2 linked regions of the Ovis aries genome follow. The protein of the gene in region 1 purifies or fractionates together with the protein of each later gene. This does not show direct contact. Links are inferred from orthologs where the notes say so. Each region holds a gene or a part of one and is shown on either strand. Other genes may lie near its edges.

Region 1 (3,811 bases):
GCCCGCTGGGGCCTCGGGAGGCAGCTGCCACCCACGGCCGTCTAGCCATCTGCTGGGCCTCCGAGCCCCGGCTGGCGCTGAGCCTGCTCGGTCCTTCCCCCCGCAGATCAGCCTGGACCCTCCCATCAAGCAGGGTCAGACTCGCTACCACTTCCTCATCCTGCTTTTCTCCAAGGACGAGGACATCTCCCTGACGCTCAACATGAACGAGTGAGTGAGGCTGTTCCCTGCCTGGGCAGGGGCGGGCGGGGGGGCGGGCAGGCGGAAGCCCGCAGCGACCCCGCCCGCCTCTTGCTGTCCTCAGGGAGGAGGTGGAGAAGCGCTTCGAGGGGCGGCTCACCAAGAACATGTCAGGATCCCTCTACGAGATGGTCAGCCGGGTCATGAAAGCGCTGGTGAACCGCAAGATCACGGTCCCGGGCAACTTCCAAGGGTGAGCGCGCCAGCCTGGGCTGCTGCCTGCCATGGGGGGTGGGGAGGTGCGCTCTCAGGTGAGCCCCTGCTGGGAACGCCGCCCCGCGGGGCCCTGGGTGGGCTGTCGCTGGAGGGGGCAGCCCCCCTGAGGCCTACACACCGGGGGGCTTGGGGCATGTTGCCCAGGCGGGCTGCCCAGGCGGCACTGACCGCGCCCCCTCCCCAGGCACTCGGGGGCCCAGTGCATCACCTGCTCCTACAAGGCCAGCTCAGGGCTGCTGTACCCCCTGGAGCGGGGCTTCATCTACGTCCACAAGCCGCCCGTGCACATCCGCTTCGACGAGATCTCCTTTGTCAACTTCGCCCGCGGGACCACCACCACGCGTTCCTTTGACTTTGAAATTGAGACCAAGCAGGGCACCCAGTACACCTTCAGCAGCATTGAGAGGTGAGCGCCTCTGCCCAGCCCTCCCGGGCACCCTGGCCCCGACCCAGCCTCCACTGGGCGGCCCGGCCTCTCCAGGCAGGCGACTCCTCTGATGTGTCGAGCCTTGAGCAGTTTCTCTTTTGCTGCCTGGAATTTGGCCTTCTCTCTTGGGGTGCTTAGCCTTCGGCAGCTGCTGTATTGCTTGCTTTCTGTACTTAAAAAAATCTGAGTGCCGTATGTATTTGGTACTAGTCCTCTTCCTCTCCCCGCACAATGGAAATGCTGTCTCCTCCTTTCCTTGAATGATCTCTGTGCCCGAGAACACAGCAGCTGTTCACTGAATGCTGGCTGGGGGCTACATGTTTCACAGACATGTTTACAGTCAACCTTCATAACAGCCTGAGAAGGCTGGGTTGCTGCTGCTGCTAAGTCGCTTCAGTCGTGTCCGACTCTGTGCAATCCCATAGACAGCAGCCCACCAGGCTCCCCTGTCCCTGGGATTCTCCAGGCAAGAACGTTGGAGTGGGTTGCCATTTCCTTCTCCAATGCATGAAAGTGAAAAGTGAAAGTGAAGTCGTTCAGTCGTGTCCGACTCCTAGTGATCCGATGGACGGTAGCCCACCAGCCTCCTCTGCCCATGGGATTCTCCAGGCAGGAGTACTGGAGTGGGGTGCCATCGCCTTCTCCAGAAGGCTGGGTTACAGACCAGCAAAACGCCCAGCCTGCCTCCCCGCTGCTTGTGGGTGTTGGTGGACAGGCACACACTGCTTCCTGTGTTTTCTTCCCCTGAAATCTTAAGATCCTGTAAGTTTTCAAGACTAGCGTCTGACTCTTCTCTGCCTGTTGTCTGCCGGGGGTCTCTGAGATCCCGGGTGTGATTGAGCTGTCGAGGGTTTGGGCCCCTTGGTCCGTGCGGCCCCTGGGGGGTGTTGAGATAGCCCACAGCCCACCCCGTGTCGGACCTGCCCACTGGGTAACGGGGCCCTCTCGTCTCAGGGAGGAGTATGGCAAGCTGTTCGACTTTGTCAACGCCAAGAAGCTCAACATCAAAAACCGAGGGCTGAAAGAGGTACCTGGGCGTGCTTGGGAGGAGCCTTGCCTGTTCTCTGTCGGGGAAGGGGCTGGGGTTGGCGCGGCTTCTTTTTCACTCTCTCTTCTCTTCTCGCCTTTGTAGAAAAAAGAGGTGCGTGAGACCCTCCCCCTCCGGGTACAGGTTTCCTGGCATGACCTTAGAGCAGGCTCCGCAGTCCCCCAGGGGCCCCCCGCGGGCCGGGCGCGGGAGGGGCTTGGACTAACTGGGTTGGCAGGGAGTCGGGCAGACGCTCTGCGCTGAGCTGTGTGTGGACACCTCCAGGCGCGGTTGCTCCGAGCTACTCACAGGCATGGGGATGGCTTCCGCGGGCGCGGGTCGGGGGGCTGGCCCTGAGCCCCACGCCCGCCCTGCAGGGCATGAACCCCAACTATGATGAATACGCCGACTCGGACGAAGACCAGCACGACGCCTACCTGGAGCGGATGAAGGAGGAGGGCAAGATCCGCGAGGAGAACGCCAACGACAGCAGCGACGACTCGGGAGAGGAGACCGGTGGGCGGTGGGCGGCCTGGCGGGGGGCGGGGCAGGGTCCCCAGGGGCGGGGGTGGGGCGCAGAGCTCACGCGGCCTGTGCTCTTTTTCAGATGAGTCCTTCAACCCGGGTGAAGAGGAGGAGGACGTCGCAGAGGAGTGAGTCGTGGGTCTACTCGGCGGGGTGAGGGTGGCCCATAAGCTTCAGGGACTGGAATACCTCTGAGCGTTCCCAAGTCCCGGAGCTACCTACCGACCGAGGGTAGAAAAGCGACCGCTGTTGAAGTGATACAGGGCCACGTTTTAAAGTTGTCAGGATGCTTTGTGAGTGCAAAGCATCTCCTGAAACCAGAAAACGACAGTGGAGAATGGGGGTAGGGGCAGAGCTTGCCCGCTTCCCAGCTGCGGTCCTCGGGTCAGGCGGTGCATCTCTGTGTCTCCTCTGTGAGATGGTAGTGTCCATCACTACTTTAAAAAAACTTTATTTTTATTTTTGGCCGGGCTGGGTGTTCGTCACTGGGTGCAGGCTTTCTCTGGTGGCGGCGAGCAGGGGCTGCTCTCTGCTCTCGGGGTGTGGGCTTTTCACTGCAGTGGTCTGTCTTGTTTTGGAGCAGGGGCTCTAGGGTGCAAGGGGCTTCAGGAATTGTGACTCGCGGGGCTTAGCTGCTCTGCAGCGTGTTGGAATCTTCCCAGAGCAGGGATCAAACCTGTGTCCCACTGGGAAGTTCCTCTATCGAGACTCTCGATTGCCGATGTCAGAAATATGACTCAAACTGATTTTCGTGTAAGAGTGAGTTTTATTAGGTCATGTAACCAGAGAGTCTGGTGATAGAATTGGGCTCAGGCACCTGAATCCAAAGGCTTCCCTGGTGGTTCAGACGGACCTGAGCCTGTCTGAAGAATCCACCTGCAATTCGGGAGTTACGGGTTCCATCCCTGGGTGGGGACGATTTCCTGGAGAAGGGGATGGCAACCCACTCCAGTATTCTTGCCTGGAAAAATCCCATGGACAGAGGAGACACAACTTAGCGACTACACCACCACCACCACCACGACTGAGTCCAGGTGCTCGGAAGTTGAGGGGAATATTAGTTTTTACTTCTGATTTCCTTATTTTTAGATGGGTGCATGCATCGCTAAATGACCCTGAGCAGCACGGGGCAGGCTAAGTCCTCCGAGTTAACTCTCAGAAGTGCTGCTGTTTTCAGAGCAGTGGTGGATGGTGTGCTTGCCTCCCCTTCCTGAGTCTGAGTTCTGAGCTGTGCTCTGATGAACTAAGAGTTAAGCCATGCACCACCCCCCCCCCCACCCCACTTAGAGCCTGTGGCTGGGGTGGGCTCCCCCTGAATGGGGCTGGGTGGTTCCCAACAGGGAATTGGAGTTCTCTTGTTCCAAAAGAATTAGCAA
Region 2 (3,811 bases), on another chromosome or scaffold:
ACGCTGATTGTTGTGCCTGACGTGTCTAAGCTTAGCACACCAGGTCAGTAATCTGTGGCTCAGGTTTAACAAATTCTCAGTTATTGCAGAACATCTAGCTTCTTGCCTCTTCCTTGTCTTATTTTTGGCTACCAATCAGAGTGAACAAGGAACTATAATGATAACAAAGACTAACTGGTTTTGCTACAGAAGGTACTCTTCTGAAAATTCCAAAGCCTAAATGAAATTTTAGATTTTTTTGGTTTTATTTATCTGGGCAGTTCTGATTATCAGTACCTTCAGTATCTAGCTATGAAACAACCTGTCATTCAATGTTTCAGGAGCACGCGCAGAAACTGATTCCCGAGTCAGTGGTGTTGATGGATATGAGACAGAAGGTGTTCGAGGTCTCCGGGCCCTTGGTGTTAGAGACCTTTCATACAGGCTAGTCTTTCTTGCCTGCTGTGTTGCACCAACCAACCCAAGGGTGAGTGTCTTAGTAGAATGGCAAAGCTTAAGAAAGACATTACCTGAGGCTGCCACAAATTCAGTGTTAAAGACAAAGGTTTGGGTTGAGATTTGCTCTTTAGCTCTAAAACCAGACTTTTTCATGCCTTGTTTTCCTGACCTTAGGGAAAAGTCTTATTTTTATGTGTTCAAGTTCGGTGCTCTAAGGATATTGGTGCTATTATTATTAATGGTGGTTTTTCTGGAGGTGGGGGTGGTCTTGTTTGTTTTTTAATTGTTACAGTTCCTCTGTCACACTCCTTGAGAAAGTACAAATAGAAAAATTTCGTAATCTGGGCAATAGCTTATAAATTACTCTTTCTGAGAGTGATTGACTCCCTGGTATTGTAGTGGTTGAGAACTTAATTTTGTTTGCAGGATGGGAAAGCAGTGAGAAAAAGTTTGGAAAATAGTCCAGTGTTGGGAAATGAGGAGTGAACATAATATTCTGTTCATTCTCATCTTCGTAACAATGATTACCATTTTATTATGGCTCATCTCTTGAGCATCTGGATTCATTTAGATAGCAATGCAAAACAATGGTGGTAGCTTTTTTTGTTATTTATAAATCACTGGACAGATGACAAGCTCTTTGGTATTTTGGCTAACTTAGGCCTTTCTGGTTAGAAGATTTTTTTCAAAAAGACCTTTACAGGCAACAGATTTTGACCTCCCAGGATGTATTTTGTTTCTGGTGATGTTTCTTCTCTTTCACATTATTTTGACTTATTTCTATACTACTATTTTTTTCCTTTTCTTCTCCCCCTCAGTTTGGAGGAAAAGAACTCCGAGATGAGGAACAGACAGCTGAGAGCATTAAGAACCAAATGACTGTGAAGGAGTGGGAGAAAGTGTTTGAAATGAGTCAAGATAAAAATCTGTATCACAATCTTTGTACAAGCCTGTTCCCTACTATACATGGTAAGAAGTCTTATCTGTGAAATAAGCTTGAAGTCAAAGTAATGTTTGTAAAACAGCAACATGTGACTTCTTAAAATACACAAATCAGATGTTAAAAGGTTTTTAGTGGGTTTAGAAGGGGTTTTTAAAAGTCATTTATAAAAGGACAGATATTACATGGTTCCAGTTGAGATGAGATACTTAAAATAGGTAAATTCATAGAGAAAGTAGAAAAAGATTACCTGTTGAGGAGAGAAATAGGGAATTGTTTATGGATAGAATTTGTGTTTGGTGTTATGAAAAGACCTAGAAGTGAATGGGTTATGGTTGTAAAAGATAGTGAATGAATGTACTTAAACCCCTTCTGAACCCCTTAAAAATGGTTGCGGTGGTTAATTTTATGTTGTGTGTATTTTGCCAGTTTTCTTTTGAAAAAAAGAAAAAATCATTTAGTCTTTTTCTGGCTTTAGGACAGAACTGCACTTAAGTATATTCTTAATATGCCAGATTAACATCCTGATCTCTTTTTCTTGTTAGTTTTCACAATGGGAAGAGATTTCATATTGTTTTTTTGATTATATGTACTGTGCCTAAGCCTGGCATGCTGCAGTTCATGGGGTCACAAAGAATTAGATACGGCTTAGCGACTGAACAACTGTGCCTATACCTTGTGGTTTCTGCTTTCGCACTTTCTTAGCTGTTGGTTGCTAGCTGCTCACTGTCATTAAATCCCTTGCACACTGAAGGATATGACTAACTTTTCAGATCTCATGCTTTGTTTTTTTTCCATCCCTCCATATTCAGTTGAAGTAAAGGCAAGAGTTCATAAGATTATGGTTATTTGTCTTAGGTATGTATTTTTAATCATTGAAAATTAACCTTTTTTTCTGCTTAAATATTTGGTCAGTGAAATTGAACTGAAATCCTTAATATTAATAATCCTTTGTGGGTTTTAGAGTATCCTCCCTTAGAATGCTGCTGCTGCTAAGTCACGTCAGTCGTGTCCAACTCTGTGTGATCCCATAGACGGCAGCCCACCAGGCTCCCCAGTCCCTGGGATTCTCCAGGCAAGAACACTGGAGTGGGTTGCCATTTCCTTTTCCAGTGCAGGAAAGTGAAAAGTGAAAGTGAAGTTGCTCAGTCCTGTCTGACTCTTCACGAACCCATGGACTGCAGCCTACCAGGCTCCTCCATCCATGGGATTTCCCAGGCAAGAGTACTGGAGTGGGTTTGCCATTGCCTTCCTTAGAATGAGTCGGTATCAAATTTTTATACTGTTTCATTCCCCCACCATAAATTAATCTATTGCTTCATAACAAATTATCCCAAACTTAATGGCTTAAAACAACAAGCATATTTCATACTGTCTGTAGATCAGGAATTTGAGGGAAACTTAGCTGTGTGGTCTTGGTCAGTCTTTGTAGATTTTGTAGCCAAGATGTCAACTAGGGCTGTAGTCATCTGAAGGCTTGACTTGAGCTGGAGGATCCACTTACAAGGATGCACTCACTGCTTATCTGTCAGTGCTTGTTGTTAGCTGGAAGCCTCAATTCCTTACCATATGAGTCTCTTCCCTGGACTGTTTCAGTGTCCTCGTAGCACAACAGCTGGCTTCCCTCAGAGCATGCAGTCCAGGAGAGCAGAGCCAGGAGGAAGCAAAATGCTTCTCGAGACCTAGTGCTAGAAGTTTTACACCTTCTCTTCCACCATATGCTATTTGTGGGAACCAAGTTACTAAGCCCAGCCACACTGAAGGAGAGGAGAATTAAGCTGTCATCTAGAAATGAGGATTATCAAAGAATTTGTGGGTTATTTTAAACTACCGCACCTCCAACGCATTTGTTTCATACAGGTTATAAGTCAGAAATTTTGTTTTTGGAATGGATTTTAAATTTTCTGCTTCTAAGGAGTGCTTTGTGTACCTGTGCCAGCATTTCGTTGATGGCATTCACAGAAGGTCATAATAATTAAGACAGAAGAATGTTTCTTCCAATATCACATTTCTAAAATTTGGTGTTATGTTTTTTTTTAATTGTTCATTTCCTTCTTGTATTTAAAAACCATTTTTAGAAGCACTGTAGATCACATTCAGCATCTTGCCTAATCTGTATCAGTTCAATTAGCTTGTATTTATATTTAGCTTTGGGTCACTATTCCTGATACAAAAGAGGTAAGTCATGGATCATTTCCTGAAACTCTTGATAGAACTATATAACCTGCAGTTGGAAAGAACTAGCGAATATGGTAGGCTGTAGTGGACATAGTTTATTTATGGGGAGAGATATTTGAGGACCGTGACATAGGGAAAGACTTTGTATAGGAAGCAGGACTTATAGACAAGGAAAGACTCTTAGAATGGTGAGCATCAGCATCTGTTTCAGGTGAAGGTATTAGTATAGTGATTAGGTGACTGTAGATTCATAGG

Evidence for each region.
Region 2: the proteins of SSRP1 (region 1) and MCM6 purify together in Homo sapiens (affinity purification with mass spectrometry; 4 studies listed by BioGRID and IntAct, with this or other methods). This does not show direct contact. The link is inferred for Ovis aries from reciprocal best matches to the Homo sapiens genes SSRP1 and MCM6.

Annotation. Positions count from the first base shown.
Region 1 is NC_056068.1:79,361,524-79,365,334, reverse strand, and holds part of SSRP1 (FACT complex subunit SSRP1), read left to right. Parts: intron 1-106; coding exon 107-210; intron 211-304; coding exon 305-433; intron 434-640; coding exon 641-862; intron 863-1,837; coding exon 1,838-1,910; intron 1,911-2,287; coding exon 2,288-2,426; intron 2,427-2,517; coding exon 2,518-2,563; intron 2,564-3,811. UniProt on the Homo sapiens protein: Component of the FACT complex, a general chromatin factor that acts to reorganize nucleosomes. The FACT complex is involved in multiple processes that require DNA as a template such as mRNA elongation, DNA replication and DNA repair.
Region 2 is NC_056055.1:174,969,859-174,973,669, forward strand, and holds part of MCM6 (DNA replication licensing factor MCM6), read left to right. Parts: coding exon 1-43; intron 44-320; coding exon 321-466; intron 467-1,256; coding exon 1,257-1,407; intron 1,408-3,811. UniProt on the Homo sapiens protein: Acts as a component of the MCM2-7 complex (MCM complex) which is the replicative helicase essential for 'once per cell cycle' DNA replication initiation and elongation in eukaryotic cells.